6 linked regions of the Sus scrofa genome follow. The protein of the gene in region 1 purifies or fractionates together with the protein of each later gene. This does not show direct contact. Links are inferred from orthologs where the notes say so. Each region holds a gene or a part of one and is shown on either strand. Other genes may lie near its edges. The genes, in order: SMARCC2, ACTL6A, DPF2, BCL7C, TBL1XR1 and BCL7B.

Region 1 (3,151 bases):
TTCCGACAGGTGCCCACACCAAATCTCAGTCTTGTGTTTGGCTTCCTCTGTCCTCCCCCAGCCTACCCCCTCAAATCTCCCCGCCAGGTCCCTGGCTGCCCACCTCACTGCAGTGGGGTTAGTTTGGTGGTAACTCTTGTTCTTTTCAGCTCCAAAGCTTTGAATCTGTCATTACTTTAATTTGGAAAATGCTTCTACTAGTTCCTCTTGTCAATTCATGTTCTTTCCTTCCTTCAAAACTGGAGGAAGGCTCATCATCCTTAGGAAGCCTTCCCAGATCAGCTCAATAGCCTCTGCCCTCTTGGCTTTTATTCTGTTCTGTCTCAGGATTTGTGTGTGTGTGTGCTTTTTAGAGCTGCATCCACAGCATATGGAGGTTCCCAGGCTAGGGGTCGAATCAGAGCTGCAGGTATCGGCCTACACCACAGCCACAGCAACACCAGATCCGAGCCACATCTGTGACCTACACCACAGCTCATGGCAACGCCGGATCCTTAACCCACTGAGTGAGACCAGGGATTGAACCTGCATCCTCATGGTTACTAGTCAGCTTGTTTCCACTGAGCCACAATGGGAACTCCTCTCAGGATTTTTATACTTGATCAGAAATCTCTTAACTTGCATCTGTGAGCTATGTTGAGCATTAATTGTTTTCAATGTCTCCATATTGTACACTTGATGCCTCTAACTAAGGAGATCAGTGTCAGAGACACTGTCTTCTATTTCTTTTATATTTTCTCAAAATCAACACTTTATCCTTCCCATTTCCTTTCCAAGTTCACCTCCTGGATCTGGAGCCCTTACCCTCTCATGATGCCTTAAACCTGTTCACTCAACAAATCTTTACGGACCGTCTACTATTGGCCAAGCACCGTTCAAAAACCTGGAGACACAGCAATCAAAGAACCGACTAGAACCTGGCCCCAGAGCTGACACTGGGGACTTGGGCTCCAGGCTGTACCTGTGGGTCACCTGTCCTTAACCACCTGGGCTACTCTGCTCTGCTGTGAAGCCCTGTCAGCCTCAGGCTCTCTGCACTGCTGCTCCCTCCATCCTAAACAGAGGGCCAGCTCAGCATCAAGGTGGGACCCTGGGCTCCTCGGACTCCGCTGGGGACACAACTCACCGCTTCTCGCTCCCGGTCCATGATCGTCTCTAGCTCCTCAAAGTGCCGGAGTTTGATCTCCAACTTCTTCATCTGGGTTTCCACCAGCAGGGCCACCAGGGATTTGATCTTCCTCTCCTCAACGGCAGCCAAGTGCTAAGAAAGGAGGGGTGGGCCAGCGGTCAGCAGGAGGACCCAGCTGAAGACGCTCCAGGCAGAGAAGGGTCGTGCGGAAGCGGGCAGGTTTTAAGAAAGAACTTGCTGTGGTCACAGCGCAGAGAGTAACGTGGGCTTGACTGATAAGTAGAGGGTAGGGACAGGCCCAATAGCAGAGGCTTAAAAAAGCTTAGAGAAGGAAGTGCCCATGGGGCACAGCAGGTTAAGGACCCAGTGTTGCTGCAGCTCTGGCACCGGCTGCAACTGTGGTGCAGGTTCAATCCCTGGCCTGTGGACTTCCACACGCTGGGTGTGGCGATTAAAAAAAAAGCTTAGATACAGATGGCCAACAAACACATGAAAAAATGCTCAACATCGCTGGTTATAAGAGAAATGCAAATCAAAACTACCATGAGATATCACCTCACACCAGTCAGAATGGCCATCATTAATAAATCCACAAATAACAAGTGCTGGAGGGGTTGTGGAGAGAAGGGAACCCTCCTGCACTGTTGGTGGGAATGTAAACTGGTACAGCCACTATGGAGAACAGTTTGGAGATACCTTAGAAATCTATACATAGAACTTCCATATGACCCCACAATCCCACTCTTGGGCATCTATCCGGACAAAACTCTACTTAAAAGAGACACGTGCACCCGCATGTTCATTGCAGCACTATTCACAATAGCCAAGACATGGAAACAACCCAAATGTCCATCGACAGATGATTGGATTCGGAAGATGTGGTATATATACACAATGGAATACTACTCAGCCATAAAAAAGAATGACATAATGCCATTTGCAGCAACATGGATGGAGCTAGAGAATCTCATACTGAGTGAAATGAGTCAGAAAGACAAAGACAAATACCATATGATATCACTTATAACTGGAATCTAATATCCAGCACAAATGAACATCTCCTCAGAAAAGAAAATCATGGACTTGGAAAAGAGACTTGTGGCTGCCTGATGGGAGGGGGAGGGAGTGGGAAGGATCTGGAGCTTGGGCTTATCAGACACAACTTAGAATAGATTTACAAGGAGATCCTGCTGAATAGCATTGAGAACTTTGTCTAGATACTCATATTGCAACAGAAGAAAGGGTGGGGGAAAAATGTAATTGTAATGTATACATGTAAGGATAACCTGACCCCCTTGCTGTACAGTGGGAAAATAAAAAAAAAAAAAAAAAAAAAAAAAAAAAAGCTTAGAGAAGAGATGACCGAGTCTCCCTCCCTCGACCAAAAGGCAAAGAAAACAGGTCAGCACTGTTTAAAGGATGACAAGGAGGGATTTCTTGCAGGTGATGTGAGATCAGAAAAGGGGCATCTCCTTCCTTGGTCCCAGGGCCTCACCTTGGCCTTCACGGCGGCAGCGGCCAGGGCGGCAGCAGCAGCGGTGGAGAGGTTGCCCTCGCCGATGTCCCGCTCCACCTTTGTCTTCCTTTCCCCCTCCGATTCCACCTCCTTCAGCACTTCCTCCTGTCCTTCCTTGGGCTCCTTCTCCTTCTCAGGATCAACTGGGCCAGGAAAAGGGGGGGTCAGTCCTACAGCCTCGCTCCATTCCTGGACCCCAACCACCACGCTGGAGGCTCACCAATCGGGTCCCCATCACTCTTCTCTGACTCCTTCTCGCTGTCACCTTCTTTCCCTTTCTCGTCATCCTTCTTGGGCACCTCGCTGGTCTTCTCCTTTGCTTCTTCCTCCACAGCCCCAACTCCTTCTCGGGGTTCCTGGAGCCCCAGGGAAAGGAAAGGGGAGACTATTAGGGAGACTGGTTTGCATACGGAGGGCCCAGACCAGGACCTGAGCTTATGCCCCTCACAAGGAAGGCGACCTGGCTTCAGGATGCAGCCCCATCCAAACCCGGCCCTGCCAGAGCT
Region 2 (3,500 bases), on another chromosome or scaffold:
AATTTTCTATGGCAGGGATATATCCTATTTGACAGTTTTTTACACCTAAGGATAAGTATTTTGGGGGGGGGGTTGGTACAAGGAAAAATTTTGAAGCTTATTAATAATTTCCCTAGGAGTTCCCATCATGGCTCAGTGGGTTAAGAACCCAGTTAGTATCCATGAGGATGTGGGTTTGATCCCTAGCCTCACTCAGTGGGTCAAAGGATCCGGTGTTGCCATAAGCTGTGATGTAGGTTGCAGATGGCAGCTGCAGCTCCTATTTGACCCCTAGCCCAGGAACCTCTGTATACTGCAAGATGCGGCCCTAAAAAGAAGAAAAATAATAATAATAATTTTACCTAAATATCAACGAGATTTTTCCTTAGCAACTCAGAGGTCATATGTATTTCACAACTTTTAGACTGTTTTATACTATGTCAGTCAAAAAATTACGGAAGATGCAATATATATATATATATATATTTTAAAATATATTCAGCTAATGAAATCTTGCTAAGTCTAAGCTTATTTAATTTAATTAATTTATTTATTTTTGCTTTTTAGGGCTGCACCCTCAGCATTTGGAGGTTCCCAGGCTAGGGGTTGAATTGGAGTTGTAGCTTGCTGGTCTACGCCACAGCCACAGCAACGCCGGATCCCAGCCGCATCTGTGACCTACACCACAGCTCACAGCAATGCTGAATCCTTAACCCACTGAGAGAGGCTGGGGATTGAACCCATATCCTCATGGATATTAGTCAGGTTCCTTAGCCACTGAGCCACATGGGAACTCCCTAAGCTTATTTTAAAGGATAAAACTGTTCTAAAGCCAATGTTGTTATGTAGGACTATGGTACAAGTATTCCCACTTGTTTTTTATCTCATCATTTTTCCCTGATGGTTATTTATTTTTGCTTTTTAGCGCCACACCCGCAGCATAAGGAAGTTCCCAGGCTAGGGGTCAAATCAGAGCTACAGCTGCTGGCCTACACCAGAGCCACAGCAATGCAGGTTTCAAGCCCCGTCTGCAACCTACATGACAGCTCATGGCAGTGCTGGATTGCCTACCACTGAACCAGGACCAGGGATCGAACCCATATCCTCATGGATACTAGTTGGATTTCGTTTCTGCTGTGCCACAACGGGAACTCTGATGATGGTTACAATTTAAATGTTATACAATTTAGCTTGTAATGTGAGTGTTTAGAATTGGGTTTCTTGAGGCTCAGAGACCTTGCTGGGTAGATTTATACCCTCAAAATGATTTAGCCATCCAGGTATGTGGTCCAGTTTCATTAAGAAAAGTTTTTTTTTAAATAATATTTTTCAGAGTTCCCTGGTGGCTCAGTGGCTTAAAGATCTGGTGTTGTCACTTCTGTGGCTTGAGTTGCTGCTGTGGCATAGCTTCAATTCCTGACTTGGGAACTTCTGCATTCTGCAGACATGAGCAGAAAAAAAAAAGTTTATAAAAATATAGATTGCAAAGACAAATTTCAATAACCTTGTGTCTTAACTCTTTTTTTGTTTAATCCTTAGTGTGTTATCCAAGATTTTCAAGCGTCAGTACTTCAAGTATCAGATTCAACTTATGATGAACAGTATGTTTTCTTATTTTTTCTATGAGGCTTATAATTTAAGAGCTCATTAAAACCTTCATACTAATCTTTTTAAAAATTGTATAATATGTTTGTGTGTATATATAATTGAATTACTTTCTTGTACACCAGAAATTAACACAGCATTGTAAATCAGCTATACTCCAATTAAAAAAAAAACTGCATACTTTATAAATTAGGACAGAAATTGATTAGTTAAACAAATTGTAGAGTATGCTTAACTGGTCTAAAGGTAAAAAGTTAAGAAGTACTAAATAACATTTTAAAAGAAGATTCTCACTCTGCTTTCTTACCTGTTGTTGATTCCTTAGTAGTTTATAATTCTTAAGAGGATTGCTTTTGTCTTTTGTTTAATATTGTTTGATGTTTTAGAGTAGCTGCACAGATGCCAACTGTTCATTATGAATTCCCCAATGGCTACAACTGTGATTTTGGAGCAGAACGGTTAAAGATTCCTGAAGGATTATTTGACCCTTCCAATGTAAAGGTATAAAAGCTTATTTCATAATTAGCTTGGTTTTTCCTATAAAAATCTCTATGTAATTATAAATCCTAAATAAGGTTAAATTTTTTTGGATGTGCTTTATTGTTTGAAGTTCTTCTTTGTGACTATTCGTTTCTGTTTTGTTGTAGGGATTATCAGGAAATACAATGTTGGGTGTCAGTCACGTGGTCACTACAAGTGTTGGAATGTGCGATATTGATATCAGACCAGTAAGTGCCAGTTTTATTTATGGCATAAAGCTGTCTTTCAGGGCAAACCAGTGTCCCCGTTATTTATAATTGCCATCATTTAAGTTGGCAACTTTGGCCATTGACTTTGAAGTCCATTTTCTAATAGAATATGTAAAAAAATGAAGTCCCTAGCAAAGGAAAAATGTGTAATTTTCTTTTTTTTTTTTTTTTTTTTTTTTTTGTCTTTTTAGGGCTGCACACGCAGCATGTGAAAGTTCCCAGGCTAGTTGAACTGGAGCTGTAGCCACCAGCCTACACCATAGCCACAGCAACTCGGGACCTGAACCACATCTGTGACTTACACCATAGCTCATGGCAACACTGGATCCTTAAACCACTGTGTAGGGTCAGGGATCAACCCTGCATCCTCATGGATACTAGTTGAGTTCGTTACCACTGAGCCACGACAGGAAGTCCCAAAAATGTGTAATTTTAAAGCTGTGGTGTCCAGTGTGGTAACTATTGGACACATGTAGCAATTTCAAATTAAATATTTTAAGTTTCACTTCTTTAGTTGCACTAGCCACGTCATAAGTATAGCTACTTGCTAGAGAACGTTTCTGTCATCACAGAAAATTCTTTTGGACAGTGCTGTTCCAGAATGTGGCAAGCCAAAATATGTTATTGGTGATTTTTCATGTGTGTAGTTCAGTTTTATTTTTCAGGAAGGTGTGGTTTAAATTCTGTAACTTTTACATGGAGTTTAGTGGGGTTTTGTTTGTTTGTTTTTGGCTGCACCTGCAGCACGGGGAAGTTTCCTGGGCCAGGAATTGAACCTGCCCTGCAGTTGCAGCCTGTGCCACAGCTCCACTGTGCCACAAGGGAACTTCCAACATGGAGTTTAGTTTAGATCTTCTTACCTTCGTATTTTTTGTGCTTTGACAAATTTTAAGGACAAATTCCATATTTTATACCATATAATTATTAGATTACATATTACTTAAACCCTAGATTTAATTTTTAGCCAGTGTACTGCCTCAGAATTCTTTTTGAGTTAATTTATTTGCATGGAGCGTAGTGCTAAAACTAAGGGTGTATAAAAAGTCATGTTCAAAAAAAAACTTGGGTAGTTATGAAAAATATTCCTTATTTCAACTACTTAATTAGCCAGTTGTGCTACTTCTAGGACAATAGGGTTATAAGTTTAATATAAACTCAAGGGGAAGG
Region 3 (3,334 bases), on another chromosome or scaffold:
TGGCCTCACTCAGTGGGTTAAGGATCCAGTGTTGCTGTGAGCTGGGGTGTAGGTCACGGATGAGGCTCAGATCCTGTGTTGCTGTGGCTGTGACATACTCTGATTCGACTGCTAGCTTGGGAACTTCCATATGCTGAGGGTGTGGCCCTAAAAACAAACAAAAACCCTCCCTTAAAAAAATGTAAAAATCACCTTAAGCTTTTGAGCTATAGATACCAGCTGCAGCTAGGTTTGGACAGCAGCTCACAGTTCGCTAACCTCTGACCTGGCGCGGAGACCATCTGATGGTTCCTAAGTGGTGTGCCTCCCAGCTGCTTGCAACTCTCCACCACCTCAGTGTCTAACTGTACTGCAGTAGGAAAGCCATTCTACAGTAAGTTCAGAATTGTGTCTGTGAAGTGACATTTTATGGTTAAAAACAAAAACACAAAACATACTACTTTTTCCCAAAGTAGATTTATAACTTGGCATGACAGGCAAGAGCTGAGTGCTCCCCTGCAGCTGCCAAAGGGTCCTCAGACTTTGTCAGAGGCCTCCTCCTCTAAGGGGTGACAGCAGTCTGACCTACACTCCAAATCAGCTCACATCACACAGGAGCCGCTTTCTCTCCCTGTAATGCTGGCCCACATCCTTTGTCATAGTAACAGCTACTGTGAATTTCTATAAAGAAGGAACTTTGGCACTGAAATCTGGATGGGCTAAGACTTGCAGGGAGGCAGCTACTTTTTGGTGCCACCAGTGGTTTCATCAAAGATCTTCCATAAACTTGAAGCATTATTAAGCACCAGAGGGGCCGTGCGACTCATTCAGGCTCCAGGTTCAACTCCCTCTCTAGAACTGGCAGAAATGAATCAAACGTGTCAAGTCTGGAATGTTGAAACTAAAGTTTCACATCAAACAAACTATGAACTGAGTTTCCAGGACTGGTTGGAGGAAAACAAATTTCTCCTTCTAGTAATCTTTCTCTGCTCAGCATGTTTTCCCTTAGGCTGTTGATTTTTCTGTGTTTGTAAATATTATCTGGCGGTAACATACAAACATTAAACCCTCAAAGCTGCAATGCTAGGAAAGCACTCTGAACTGAGTGAAAGCAAAGTGCCTACTCTCTCATCTGGAAGAACGTATCACGGATACGAGAACTCATTTCATGTCAAGTATTTTCCAAGTGACTAAAAATAACTGTTCTGGGAGTTCCTGTCCTGGCTCAGGGGTTCATGAACTGGACTAGTGTCCGTGAGGATGCGGGTTTGACCCCTGGCCTCACTCAGTGGGGTTAAGGATCTGGCATTGCCATGAGCTGTGGTGTAGGTTGCAGACAGGGCTCGGATCCCTCGTTGCTGTGGCTGTGGTGTAGGCTGGCAGCTGTAGCTCCGATTTGACCCCTAGCCTGGGAACCTCCCTATGCCAAGGGTGTGGCCCTAAAAAAAAAACAAAACCAAAAAAACTGTTCCGAATAAGAGATCCAGGAAACATACCCTCAGGAGGCTCAGACATAGATGGGGTGAGACAATACATGTGGTAGCCACGATCGCAGTCATCACAGAAGAGCAGCTGGTCCTAGAGAAGGCAAGATGGAAGAGGAAGGGGGAGGTGAATGACCAGTGGGCCTCAGCTGGGCCGTTGGGGCTGGCTAGGAAGGAGGGCTTCTGAGACACTGCTGCTGCTTATAGGAGGGGTGGGATGGATGGCAGGTAAGAACAGACATGGGATTCTCTGGACAGAAAACCACAAGACAGAGTGACTGTCATTCCACCTGGACCCCCCCTCTCAGCTCCCTAACTGATCTCATGGTCTCCACAGTGTTCCCTTCAACCCGTTTTCCACAGAGCAGCCAAAGTTATCTTTTTAAAATATAAGACAAACTACATCACCCCTGATTAAACTCAGGCCTGATGGTGCCTGCCTTCCAGTCTTGTCTTTTACTTGCTCTTCCACTGCAGGAGAGCTCCTGCTGGCTACAGTGGTCTCAATCCATTTGGCGTGTCCACCTTTAGGCCTTTACACTTGCTGCTCTTTCTTGGGAATACTCTCCTCCAAATCTTCTTGGACTATCTTCTTTGTATCACCCAAAGCTCAAAACCAACATCACCTCCTCAGAAAAAGGCCGCGTTCCCACTGTGGTACAGTGGGTTAAGCTCCAACTACAGAGGCTCAGGTTCGATTCCCGGCCCAGTGCAGTGGGTTAAAGGATCTGGCGTTGATGCAGCTGTGGTGTACGTTGCAGCTGTGGCTCAGATTCAGTCCCTGGCCTGGGAACTTCTATGTGCCATGGGTGAGGCCATTAAAAATCAAAAGAGGAGTTCCTATCATGGCTGTGGTTAACAAACCTGACTAGGAACCATGAGGACTTGGGTTTGATCCCTGGCCTCGCTCAGTGGGTTAGGGATCTGGCTTTGCCGTGAGCTGTGGTGTAGGCGAAAAATGCAACTCAGATCTGGAGTTGCTGTGGCTGTAGTGTAGGCCAGCAACTACAGCTCTAATTGGACCCCTAGCCTGGGAACTTCCATACGCTGTGGGTACAGCTCTAAAAAAGACAAAAATAAAACAAAATAAGATCTGGCTGCCTAAAAGTTATTCAGTTATTCCCTGCCACACTACTGGTTTCATTTTCTTCATGGAACATCATAAAAATGTCACTTAACTTTCTTGCTTATTGTCTGTTCCCACAAGAATGTAAACTCCATGAAAGCAGGACACCTTTTCTTTAGTGTCCTCAGTGCCTAGAACAGCGTCTGACACCTGCCTAACAAATCCAAGTTCCCACGGGTGGAGAGGACAGTAAAAGCTGAGGAGTGTGCTGGGGGCGGGGGCGGGGGCGGGGGCGGGGCCGGGCTACGCACGTCGTTCTCAGAGGTGCCGCAGATGTTGCAGCACTTGCACTCGATGCACTGCCAGCGGTAGGTCTTCACTGCTGCCATCATCACAGGCGTGAACTGGAGGCAGGACGGATGCCCTGTGGGGGAGGGATCGAGTGAGAGGCAGCCAGCAATGGGGAAGAAGCAAGGTGACCCTGGCTGACTGTGACAGCCACTGGACACTGGCAAGCCACGAACCCCTTGGGCACTGGGTGCCGGCTGTGGCAGCCCTGGCCCTGGATCGGAAGTACCTGAGCGGCCACAGTCAGAACAGGACACCAGCTCCTCGGGTTGTCCTGTCTTCTTGTTGATCTTCGAGTCCCCCAGGCAGAAGTCACAGTAGTTGTTGGGTAGGGCCAATCCATCGGGACCCTTCTTGGCTACAGGGAGAAGGGAGGAATTCTGATGACGCCCATGTGGGCCTCTGGGTCTCTCAACATCCCTGCAGGCTGGCCGACTCCTGCTTGCCCCAGCTCTGA
Region 4 (4,183 bases), on another chromosome or scaffold:
AGTTCGAATCTTGACCTCGAGCAAGTGACTTAATTTCTCTAACCCTGTTTTCCCATCTGTCAAGTGGGGATAATTATAGTAATTACCACATCAGATGGTGTATGAATCAAAGGAGGTAACACAGGCAAAACCGTTAACACGGTTTTAATGCGGTGAGTGCTCGAGAAATGCCAATTATGGTTTTTTATATCAGTAAAGGTACACGAGCGTGTGCTACGATCCAGACACAGAACGGAGGCCTAAGTCCTGGTGTTCTTGGAAAGGAACAGTGAGGTCAGCAGGGGACGGTTCGGGAAGGGCCCAGAGTGCCAAGCTGAGGGGTCAAAGGTCAGAGGGAGCCATCGAAGGTTCTGAAGCTGGAAAATGACCCCATCAAACGCATGCTCTGGTAGCTGTGTGGGTGCAGCTGGAGGGGAACAGACCCATGAGGAGGCCGGAGCCGGGTGTGGGTTAGAGAGACGACAGGGCCTGGGCAGGCAGAGGAAGGCAGACAGACACATTGAGAGATGGATCTGATCAGACAGGGGACTGACTTTACGGGAAGAAAGAGGAGCTGATGAAGACTCAGGCCCAAGATCCTGGCTCGCTGGCTGGGTGAACTTGGGCAGCTTCTCTGGGTTTCGGGTATATCATCTCTCAATGGAGATCGTAGCCCTCATAGGGCTGCAGTGGGGATGAAATGAGATAAAACATGGAAAGAGCTTAGCGGGGTGTCGGGCACGCAGAAAGAGCTCAGTAAGTATTAGCTGTAACTATCACCGACTGTTAATCAGTCTTTTGATTATTACCTATTCCTCAACAAATATTTCTTGAGCACCTGCTAGGTGGTCCGCAGTGTTCCGAGGATACAGCCGAGAACAGGATCAAGATGGGCCCAACCTTCAGGAAGCGGACAGGAGGTGGGAATGGGGAAGAAAGATATTTAACTACTCAAAAGCTAAATTTACATGAAAATCTGTGATAAGTTATCTACAGACCCAAAGAAGCCAGAGGAAGGCCAAAGGCCCTAGAGGAAAGGCAGTCACTTTCCACAGGACTCAGGGATGGTCTCCAGAAGACTCGACACAGGAGGGGGACCAGACAGAGGACAAGTGGGGGGCTGCAACCTTGGAGAGGACAAGACACAGAGGAGAAGGTTCCTGGGAGGCACCTGGTCCTACCTCTCTCCTGGCCCAGCTGTGGGGGCTGAGCATCCTCAGGGACCCCTTCCGGTGGTCCAGCAGGTGACACAGGGCGGCTGGGCTGGGGGGTGCCCCCAGGGCTGGGCTCCGTGCCCTTTTGCAGGGAGCCTTCTGAATGGAAGCTCTGGTTACTGTTCTCATCTGTGGGAGCAAGAGCAGAAAGGGTTGGGTCTGAGGCGCCCAATCCCCTCCTTCATTCCCCACCGCTGCCCCAAAGCCCAGCCAGCATCCCCGACATACCGTTGAGATCGAGCAGGATGAGAGGGCCCCCCCCTCGGGGACTGGCGCCCCTGCCCCTCCGCTCGCGGCCTCGGGATCGCTCTGCGCCGCCACCTGCCCTCCGACGCTCCTGGGGGTTAGAGGACGAAGGGTTACAGTCAGCTTTCTAGTTAGTGCTTGCAAAGCCCCCACTGAACAAATAACGACATTGAGGCACAGAGAAGCAGAAGGCCCTCCGTGAGCGACAGGTTGTGCGCCACGGCGGCGGCGGCGGCGGCGTTAGGCCGTGAACTCAGGGGGTCTGGTGGCGGGGGAGGGGAAAGAGGCGGAGTTGCTAATAATTGTTAACATCTGTTCCCGAGGCTGCATGTAAGGTCTAAGTGGGGACTGGAGGTGGAGGCCAGCCGCCGGGAGGGGCTTGCCCGAGGTGGCCCAGATGCAGGGCCTGGTGTGGGGGAGCTTGCTCACCTCTTCCTGGGGGTCCACCACTGGCACCCACTTGAAGATACGCAGGGAAGTGTCACCCACAGTCACCCAGCGCTTCTCCCTGTGGGACGGTGGAGGGACGGGGTCAGAGAGGCCTGAGGAGAGAGCCAGCCCAGGAGCTGGATGTATCTGGGGATACGTGTGGAGGTGGGGGTGGTGCGCAAAAGAAGCGGCAGCGTGGCTAATGGGACTTGGAGGGAGAAGCCCGGCAGACCTCAGGGCATAGGTGGGGGGCGGGAGAAAGAGAGAGAGGGAGAGAAAAAAAAATAGGCTGGGGTCACGACGCGGCAGACCCCTGGGGTATACATGGAGAGCGCGACTATAGGCCTGGGACCACAGCCTCGAAGATCCCGGGGCACACTTGCGGGAGGAGTGTCAAAGCTTTAGGGGGCGGGGCATAAAGGGGGGGTTCCAGCTCTGGGAGGGCAGGGCTGGGGAACACGCTTTGTAGACCCCAGGGTGTAGCCAGGAGAAGAGAGATAGAGCCCTGCAGATCCAGGACGCAGCTGGGGGCGGCGGGGGAGAGGGGCACACCTAACACCTGGGGGCCACAGGTGGCGGAGGGGGTGTGGACGTGTCGGGGGAGGAATGGCCCGCCGTGGCCCGTCCCTGGCCCCCGGGGCAGCGCTCACCATCTCCGGACCTTCTCGATGGTCGCCATCACCTTCTTGATGTCATCCTTGGCCCGGCTCCGGGTCTCGGCCCGCACGGTCCGGCCGGCCATGCTGGCGGGGCTGGGGCCGAGGCCGAGCCCGCGGCTGGGCCGCCTCCCGTCCGGCGGGCTCAGGCTCGGCGCCAGGCCGGGGCGCCGCTCTCTCGGCCTGTCGCCCCTCCGGGAGTTGGCCGCGCCCTCCCTCGCTCCCCAACGCCTCCGCGAGTCCCCGCCCCGCTTCCTGCCGCCGCGCCCCGCCCCGGCCCGTCCCCGGAGCCGCCCGGCGGCGCGGGCGGCCAGAGCCCAGGCCTGGAAGCCGGCCGGCCCCGCCCCGACCGGGCCCGCCGCCTCCGCCTCGAGGCGCCCGGACGCGCAGCGCCCCCTGCCCGCGGCCGAGAGGGAGGTTGGGGCAGCTCGGCGACTGGACGCGCGCGGCGGGGCTGCGGCCGTGCGTTCAGACCACGTGGGCGCCAGGGGGCGCGAGAGGATCTGTGTCCCGGGTGCGACCGCTGCGCGTGGGTGGACCCTGGAACGGTGTGTGTGTTTGTGTGTGTGTGTTTGCGTGTGTGTGTGTCCCTTGCTCGGCTGCCTGGTTCTACGCTGCAACTATCTCTTCATCCATTCATTCTACAGGCTATTAACTGAGGGCCAGTTACGTGCCAGACACTGTAAATGTACTGAGTGCCTCTTCCACCCTCCAGAATGGCTCAGATGAGACCTTGCCAAGTGGAGGCGAAGTAGAGCAACTGGACCTCTCATATTTCTGGGGGAGTGTAAATTGATAGAGACACTTTGGAAAGCTGGCGCTTTTCTAGTGAAACCGAACGTACACCAACCCTGTGACCCAGCAGTTCCGCTCCTGGATGGTTAACACCCATCAGAAATGCGTGGGTAGGAGCCCCAAGGGACCTGTACTGGAATGTCCATAGCTCTGTTCCTAAGCGCCTCAGGCTAGAAACAACCCATCCACAGGGCCATGGAAAATAAATTGTAGCCTGTTCACACCATGGACGACAGGGCAAGGAGAGTGATGTCCTGCTACACACAACATGGGGACGTCTCGTGAAAGAGGTCAGAGAAGCAATACGCCCTGTGATCCCATTCAGAGAAAGTTCTGGACAAAACCAATAAATGGTGCGAAACACCGGGGAGAGTGGTCACCCTGGGGACTGGGAGGGGCTAAGAGGGGCCTCTGGGAACTGGTCAGATTCCGTTTCTTAATCTGGTGCTGGTTCCCACGGCATATTTACTCTTGGAAAATTCGCGGAGCTGTACATATAGGATGTGTGTACTTTACCCTGTGTCTATAGCACGTCAATGAAAAGCTTACTTAAAATACATGTGTCTTGGTTGATTTTGTTTGAGGCTGTGTTTGCCAGCAGGTATGACATTCTAAATTTGTGTTGCTGTGTGTGAATGTGTCAAGGGTGTGGCTCTCGGGTCTGTGTGTTTTGGTGTGACTATGTTCAGAGGTGGTTATGACATCATTTCTGGGCCAAATCGCTGGGGTAAAATCCCAGCTCTGCTTGTCCAGTGACCTCAAACAAGTCACTTATCACTATTTTCTCAGCTGTAACATGGGAATGAGTTAATATACATGTAACTCTTAGAACAGCATCTTGCGCATAGTAAATACCCAACAAGA
Region 5 (3,500 bases), on another chromosome or scaffold:
CACTTTAATGCAAATATAGGACCTTTATGCTGCCCCAAGGTGCTAGCAAGGTTACCTAATATTCAAAAGGAAAAACATTAAAATTACTTTAAACTGTATAACTTAGATCAACACTAATAGCAAATGAAAAGAAAAAGTGCTTCATTTACCATCTTTAGTCCATATTCTGGCAAATCCATCATAGGAACCAGTTGCTAGAAGTGTACCTTCACTCTGTAAGAGAAACATACTTCTTCAATTAAAAAATCCAGAAAGGACATTTAATTGTTATCAGAATATTTCATGTTTAAATCCCAGGTACAGCTGATCTGTGACATTCTCTGCTTCAAAACCTTCAGCTTTGCCTACTTGGAAGAGCCATGAAAGGCCTACAGAAAACCCTTCATTGCTGTAGAATTTTGTCAGCATTTAGTCATGATGTGAGCCTCATGTCAAAATCTCAAGAATGGCAGCAACTGCTCTGGTGCAGGATCAACATCACTCTTGTGCATGCTAAAGTTTACTACATTCCCATAGGTGCACGTGACTAAAGATGGGGGTGGGGTGATGGATTAGGAAGGACATCAAAATCATAACTTTATAATGATTCAGGAAAAGTAGAGAGAACCCTTTCAAAATATTTCATTACGATTAGAAGTTTTTATAAAGACCTCCCTCTAAATCTTTTATTGTCTAAACTATGTGTCTGTATGTCTGTGTGTGTTCCAAATAATATTGTTGTTTCAGATGATCAGATACTTAAATATCACTGAATGTTTCTTTCCTTTCTTAATTATTTCCCAATATGAAATCCTTACAATAAAAACAGCAACACAAGAAAAAGAGCCAGAAAAGAGTGTAGACTGACTTTATAGTTAATGAAGTAAGTACAGTTGCCTGGAACTACTCTACTATGAGGAGAAATCTATACCAATTTCTCTAATCCTATATTCCCTTATTCCCTTACATGTGCCTTACTTGATTAATGGTACAACACAAGGACACACTTAACTTATTCTACGGAAGTACAAGTGACAGAATACACAAAACAGACTATTGCCCGGATGAGTAAACATTATTAGAGAGAGAGAGAGAGAGAGAGAGAGAGAGAATGCAAGCCTGCCTTACTCTGTACTTTTTGATACTTTCCAGTAAGTGTATTGAAAACACAGTCACCTTTTTCAGACCTCAAGTCATTTACCTGTACAGGTAAGTGGCAAACGAATGTTGGTTCTATGGGTTGTAGACTGAGATTTGCTAGGATTTGAAAAGGCCCTAAGGAAGAAGCAGCAATGCTGAAGCCAACAGCAAAATCTTAATTTCAGACTCGGAACAATGGAAAGTTTCCTTCTAAAATGGTCCCCAAATGTTTTAAGATCATGGACCACTAAAGTAGGAAAAGAACACTTTAAAGATCAGATATTTCACAGGCTCTTGCTTTAGTCATGGAAAAGAGCCATTAATCAACAGTAATATATTCCCCTTTTAGTGGAAGATTTAAGCTTGTAGTGAAAATAAATCTTCAAAAGTCCACACTTTAAAAAACTTTTAACTTGCAGTTCAGAACCACCAAGTTCAACATACCATTTATTAACCATTCTTTTCAGTGTAATCAGTAAACTTCATTTAATTAACATGGCCTCCAAGACAAACAGATTAAGAAAGACAGAAGGCCTTTAATCTATGATATAGTTAGGTACCATATTAAGAAGACAATTCTTAGTTCTGACCCTTCGACCAAGTAATAACTGAAATGTGCTAAACTTCTTTTCATTTCTAGAATTCTCAAATTTATACAGGGGAAGAATAAACACATTGCTGGAAATTTAGAAAAGAATATTAAAAAATCTTACCTATGAGTTCTGGAAGAATTTCATAGAGTAATCATGTTTAAAGATAGAGCTCATTTCTTGGAATAAGATTTGGAAAATCCTTTGGAAAGCCCCACAAAGTTGTTAAACAGAGGCCAGAGAAGGAGAAGATGTCCACTTGCTAAGGAAAGGACAGCTGACCCTAAAAATTCTTAGTAACACTGGTGTCTGAAAGGCTTCTCAGAACTGGGGTGGGGGGTGGTGTTTAAGAAACTGATGTAAAGTTACAAGGAAGAAAAAGGCAACATGGGATAAAGAGAAAGATACAGAAACTTTAAAAATGGTGATTTCCTGCAAATTAATAATGGGACTGCAAACAAAGCTGTTAATCATGTATTTGAGGAGTTCCTGCTGTGGCTCAACGGTAATAAACCCAACTAGAATCCCTCAGGATGCAGGTTCGACCCCAGGCCTCGCTCAGTAGGTTAAAGGATCTGGCATTGCGGTGGGCTGTGGTGTAGGTTGCAGATGCAGCCTGGATCTGCAGCTCCAATTTGACCCCTAGACTGGGAACTTCCATATGCCACAGCTGCAGCTCTTAAAAGAAAAAAAATCATATATCTGAAACTGAAAGGATAAAGCTTTATCAATAATGAAATAAAACTTTCTAGTAAATCAGAGTAGTCAAGTTATCCTAGAAAGATTCTGAATAATATATAGAATTAGAGAATGTTAAGATTCATACAGCTAGAATGCAGCTTGGAAGACATCTAGACAAACAGTTCCTGATGAAAACTTCATTGCCAACTGCATGCTAAGGTCTCCTATATTCCAATAGATGTACATGACTAAAGATGGAGTGGGGTGATAGTCTGGGAAGGACATCAAAATTATAACTTTATAATGATTCAGTAAAAGTAAAAGACAGCTGGCAAAGAAGTTTTTATCAGTTCTCAGCTAAATAAGAGAAAGAAGAATATGTTTTTATTGTACAGATTTCCCTTATACCTCCAGCAAAAGGCTTAGTAGTTAAGAATTTACTATGTGCTTGTTACTGATTTTCATTTTTACTTCATTTATGTGGGACCATTAATACATACATTAATACTTTACATGTAAGGAAAGTGAAGCACAGAGTGATAGACCAGTTATATGCAAAGGTTCTGCAGCTAGATAAACTGAGGAGCTGGAAGATGAACTTTGGCCTGCTTGCTTGAGCAGTCTTTGTTTTTGACACATTAGAGAGGTGGGGACTCCTAGTTTGTTGTTCTTACTAGTCAGTGAAATCCAAAAAGTAACTGAACAAACAGACATACCCTGTCTTAAGTCTGAGGCTCAGAGAAGTTCAGTATATTAATAACTAGATCCATCATGGACAATACAGTAATACTCACATTCCAATCTAGAGATGTCACATCCTTGTTGCTTGGGACATCTTGCCCTCCTTCTCGTATACAATGTCTAAGTACTAACTGTGTGGAGCCACTAGTGCTATTTTCACTAAGATTCCATATTCTTGCTGTTGAGTCTCCAGACCTATAAAGTATGCAATATATTTTAAATCCTCATGATATTCTCAAGTATTCCAGAATCAAGGCAACATATTTACATCCTATTATTAATAAGGCAAAAAAAAAAAAAAAAAAAAAAAACTAGACTATCAGAGATTTCCATTTCCAACATTTTTCTCAGTCTCCACTTTGGGGGCCA
Region 6 (3,500 bases), on another chromosome or scaffold:
TTCTGCTCAGGGCAGAAAGCAGAGGAGTGCCACAGGGAGCTCTAGTGGAAGCATACGTTTCTGCCTCTCACTTGTGATTCCTGATATTCGTGCTGGAAGGGCCCATTTCACTGATAGAGACACTGGGGCCTGGGGACACCTTGTCCAGTATTCTGTTATTCCTTGGGTCCCGGATTCTGAAGCCACTGTCGTCCTCCTGTTCCTGATCCAGACTTCTGTGGTGTCTCAGCACCTCTTCCCTCTCTGTGGGTCTTCTGCTTGGCTCTGTCATATTCCTCTTTTTTTCCTTTTCTAGAAAGAAAAGTCAAAATCGAACAGTTCAGCAGCCCGGGAACCTAATGGCTTTCCCTCTGATGCCTCAGCCAATTCCTCTCTCCTTCTTGAATTCCAGGGTGAGTTGCATCCATATGTCTTCCTCGCAGGAAAAAACTTAGATAACCCATTAATGATCAGAAGAGTAGTCTGTGTGTCATTTCAGTGCCTGCTGTTTTGCTGGTATCTCGCTGGGCACTTTATGTGAGTCTTTTCATTTAAAATAGCCCTGCAGGAGAGGTGACAGTGTCCTCGTTTTGCAGTTAAGGAAACTGAGGCTCAGAGAGGTGAGGTTATGTATCTAAAGTCACATCGCATGTAAGTGACAGACCCCATGGTAGGTCCTGGTTTTCTGGGTCAGAAGCTCTTTTCTTTAAACTGTGTATTTCCGGAGTGCCTTAGAGTAGAGGCCCCCAGAGCCGAGGCGTCTGCCCGTCCACTCTTAGTCCAAGGTCTGCCTCCTAAGCTGCTTTTCGCTAGACGTCTGGCCTGAGTCAGCACTGCGCTCATGTTACCTTGTACACCTGCTGGCAGTGTTCATGCAGCACTTTCACTTCAGTTTCTCATTTTTATCCTTACATCAGCCTGTGATATGAAGCAGGCAGTTATCGTCATCCCTATTTAAGGAAACTGATGCTCCGAGAAGAAAAGTGTTTGCTTAAGCTTAAAAGTGACAGCGCTTTATTCTTTTTTATAGTAAAATGCTACTTGCATTTTATATAGAAGGCAGTGATCTTTCTCGGATAAAGACTAGCAAGGGCTTACAGTTGTCTCTTCGGGACGAGCCTGGGCGTGACCAGGTATCCGCTTCTTTGCTCCGAGAGGAAGGAAGGTCGTGGTGATGGAGGAAGAGAAGACTGGGGACAGGCTCTCTAGCCCCGTGAGGGAGCACGTCACTGTGACGCTCTGGGAGACCCAGGAGGCGCTGCTTCCGCAGTCGGGCCACAGCTCATCCTGTTCATTCAGTGAGCGTTTCATCAACTCCTGCTATGTGCCAGCTACTGAGGACTGTGCTGGAGATTCAAGGACCAGTAAGCCACAGAGTCTGCCAGCACAGAGTGTCCTGGAAGGAGCCTTGTGTGTGAAACAGTTAATGCAGGTGTGCCCAGGATGCAGCAGGAGCAGAGATGGGAGCGTGGTCATTGCCACCCAAGGGAGCCTGGGTCACAGGGCCCTGCAGGGGAAGTGATGCCTGAGCTGAATGGTGGCAGGTGTAGGGGCTTTGCAGCAAAGCTGGAAGGAGCAAGTCCTCCTGGACGCCTCTGCGTGAAACCGCGCTTAGGTAGGTGTCCAGCGTGGCTGGAGCCGAGGGTGCGTATGGAAGAGCAGCGGACAGTGAGCGAGAGATCAGAAAGGAGCTTGTAGGTTGTGACAGGGAGCAGGCCATCTCGTAGGCAGCAGGGCACCACAGAAGGGTTTAGAGAGGTCATTGGCCATGGTGTGAGGTGCACTGGGAGTGCCTGAGGCTGAAGGAAGGGCAGTCAGGTGGCTGTTGCAGGAGGCCATGCCAGTGATCATGAGGCCTGAACCAAGGCAGCAGGAGAGGAGGGAGAAACACAAGAGATATCAGAGCATCCCGCGGATGGGTCAGATTTGGTGACTGGCTGCTGGAGGTGAGGGAGAGGAAGGAATCGTTGGCTCTGTTTTTAACTTAGGTGGGGACTTTAAGCCTTCAGAGAGCGCTTCCCAGGTGGGGTCCCTTGGTCCTTGAGGCAGTCAGTGGAGCCTGGGCAGCTGAAAGGGCTGAGCTGACCCCCTCCAGACACCACCCCCTTCCTTCAGCTAGCCGGGAATGGGAGCCAGCCTTGATCGTCTTCTGCACCTCTTGTATTTATTGTGAGAAAGGTCGAGAGGCACAGCCATGTCCCTCTCGTCACTGGTCAGTGCGAAAATACCAGGACCCAGCTATCATTGGTGGGTAATAAAGAAGTGATTAATAAGCATATCTTGACATTCCTGAAATATAAATGTGGCATATCCTTAAAGATTCTGGCTGCATGTGGTGCTTAGAATTTATGTTCTAAAAAAGAAAGTACTTAAATTAGTCAACCCAGGGAGTTGTTGATGTGGCGCAGCATTGGCTCTGTGGCAGCGCGAGTTTGATCCCTGGCCTGGCGTAATGGGTTAAGGATCCAGCATTGCTGCAGCTATGGCATAGGTCACAGCTGCAGCTTGGATTCAGTCCCTGGCTTGGATTTAATCCCTGGCCTTGGAATTTCCGTATGCCACGGGTGCAGCCCCCCAAAATCTAATCAGCTTAAACTTAGTTGATAATTGGCAGTGCTCAGAAGGCCCATGAGTGTCCACCTTTGGTTTGGGGCCATTTGCAGCCACGGTCATTGTGAGCCTGGCTGTGTCCACATTGCCGACAGAGAGACACCAGGCCCGTGGCTCTGTACTGAGTTACTCTCGAAAATGATCACCCTTAGCTGTTGCCTTTGTCGTGTTTGGTTTTCAGATGAAAACAGCAACCAGAGTTCTGTGTCTGATGTCTATCAACTCAAGGTGGACAGCAGCACCAACTCGAGCCCTAGCCCCCAGCAGAGCGAGTCGCTGAGCCCAGCGCACACCTCTGACTTCCGCACAGATGACTCCCAGCCTCCCACTCTGGGCCAGGAGATCCTTGAGGGTGAGTCACTGTTGGCCCAGGATGCACGTTTTGGAGGGGCCTTGCCTCCTGCTCTTGATGTTTCTTTTGAGTAACAGGTTAGAGAAGGTACGATAGAGCCGGCAGCTTCAAGCCATTTGTTAATTGTTTGGGCTATTGTGGGGAATGGTTGTATTTTCCTTTTCACAGAATGAAACAGAAAATAGCAACACAATCAAGTGCCAGGCTCTGTGTAAGGAGGGCACTTTTCATATTTGATGCCTGATATGACTTGTTCAAAAACCCTATGAGGAGTTCCCATCGTGGCACAATGGAAACGAATCCGACCAGGAACCATAAGGTTGTGGGTTTGATCCCTGGCCTCGCTCAGTGGGTTGAGGATCCGGCGTTTCCGTGAGCTGTGGTGTGGGTCGCAGACGTGGCTCACATCTGGCATTGCTGTGGCTGTGGTGTAGGCCGGAACCTGTAGCTCTGATGGAACCCCTAGTCTGGGAAACTCCATATGCCATGGGTGTGGCCCTAAGAAGATAAAAATAAATAAATAAACAAAAACCCTATGAAATGGCAGCTATTATCTCCA

What was found.
Region 2: the proteins of SMARCC2 (region 1) and ACTL6A purify together in Homo sapiens (affinity purification with mass spectrometry; 8 studies listed by BioGRID and IntAct, counting the BioPlex papers as one, with this or other methods). This does not show direct contact. The link is inferred for Sus scrofa from reciprocal best matches to the Homo sapiens genes SMARCC2 and ACTL6A.
Region 3: the proteins of SMARCC2 (region 1) and DPF2 purify together in Homo sapiens (affinity purification with mass spectrometry; 8 studies listed by BioGRID and IntAct, counting the BioPlex papers as one, with this or other methods). This does not show direct contact. The link is inferred for Sus scrofa from reciprocal best matches to the Homo sapiens genes SMARCC2 and DPF2.
Region 4: the proteins of SMARCC2 (region 1) and BCL7C purify together in Homo sapiens (affinity purification with mass spectrometry; 4 studies listed by BioGRID and IntAct, counting the BioPlex papers as one, with this or other methods). This does not show direct contact. The link is inferred for Sus scrofa from reciprocal best matches to the Homo sapiens genes SMARCC2 and BCL7C.
Region 5: the proteins of SMARCC2 (region 1) and TBL1XR1 fractionate together in Homo sapiens (co-fractionation; 3 studies listed by BioGRID, with this or other methods). This does not show direct contact. The link is inferred for Sus scrofa from reciprocal best matches to the Homo sapiens genes SMARCC2 and TBL1XR1.
Region 6: the proteins of SMARCC2 (region 1) and BCL7B purify together in Homo sapiens (affinity purification with mass spectrometry; 3 studies listed by BioGRID and IntAct, counting the BioPlex papers as one, with this or other methods). This does not show direct contact. The link is inferred for Sus scrofa from reciprocal best matches to the Homo sapiens genes SMARCC2 and BCL7B.

What each region holds. Positions count from the first base shown.
Region 1 is NC_010447.5:21,566,614-21,569,764, forward strand, and holds part of SMARCC2 (SWI/SNF complex subunit SMARCC2), read right to left. Parts: intron 3,002-3,151; coding exon 2,866-3,001; intron 2,789-2,865; coding exon 2,625-2,788; intron 1,262-2,624; coding exon 1,127-1,261; intron 1-1,126. UniProt on the Homo sapiens protein: Involved in transcriptional activation and repression of select genes by chromatin remodeling (alteration of DNA-nucleosome topology).
Region 2 is NC_010455.5:117,618,915-117,622,414, forward strand, and holds part of ACTL6A (actin-like protein 6A), read left to right. Parts: intron 1-1,518; coding exon 1,519-1,580; intron 1,581-1,970; coding exon 1,971-2,085; intron 2,086-2,231; coding exon 2,232-2,312; intron 2,313-3,500.
Region 3 is NC_010444.4:6,873,165-6,876,498, forward strand, and holds part of DPF2 (zinc finger protein ubi-d4), read right to left. Parts: intron 3,236-3,334; coding exon 2,841-3,235; intron 1,558-2,840; coding exon 1,476-1,557; intron 1-1,475. UniProt on the Homo sapiens protein: Plays an active role in transcriptional regulation by binding modified histones H3 and H4. Is a negative regulator of myeloid differentiation of hematopoietic progenitor cells. Might also have a role in the development and maturation of lymphoid cells.
Region 4 is NC_010445.4:17,546,163-17,550,345, reverse strand, and holds the start of BCL7C (B-cell CLL/lymphoma 7 protein family member C), read right to left. Parts: upstream 2,801-4,183; 5' UTR 2,611-2,800; coding exon 2,519-2,610; intron 1,948-2,518; coding exon 1,869-1,947; intron 1,531-1,868; coding exon 1,422-1,530; intron 1,323-1,421; coding exon 1,161-1,322; intron 1-1,160. UniProt on the Homo sapiens protein: May play an anti-apoptotic role.
Region 5 is NC_010455.5:115,338,229-115,341,728, forward strand, and holds part of TBL1XR1 (F-box-like/WD repeat-containing protein TBL1XR1), read right to left. Parts: intron 3,327-3,500; coding exon 3,185-3,326; intron 214-3,184; coding exon 150-213; intron 56-149; coding exon 1-55. UniProt on the Homo sapiens protein: F-box-like protein involved in the recruitment of the ubiquitin/19S proteasome complex to nuclear receptor-regulated transcription units. Plays an essential role in transcription activation mediated by nuclear receptors.
Region 6 is NC_010445.4:10,852,315-10,855,814, reverse strand, and holds part of BCL7B (B-cell CLL/lymphoma 7 protein family member B), read left to right. Parts: intron 1-295; coding exon 296-392; intron 393-2,770; coding exon 2,771-2,941; intron 2,942-3,500. UniProt on the Homo sapiens protein: Positive regulator of apoptosis. Plays a role in the Wnt signaling pathway, negatively regulating the expression of Wnt signaling components CTNNB1 and HMGA1.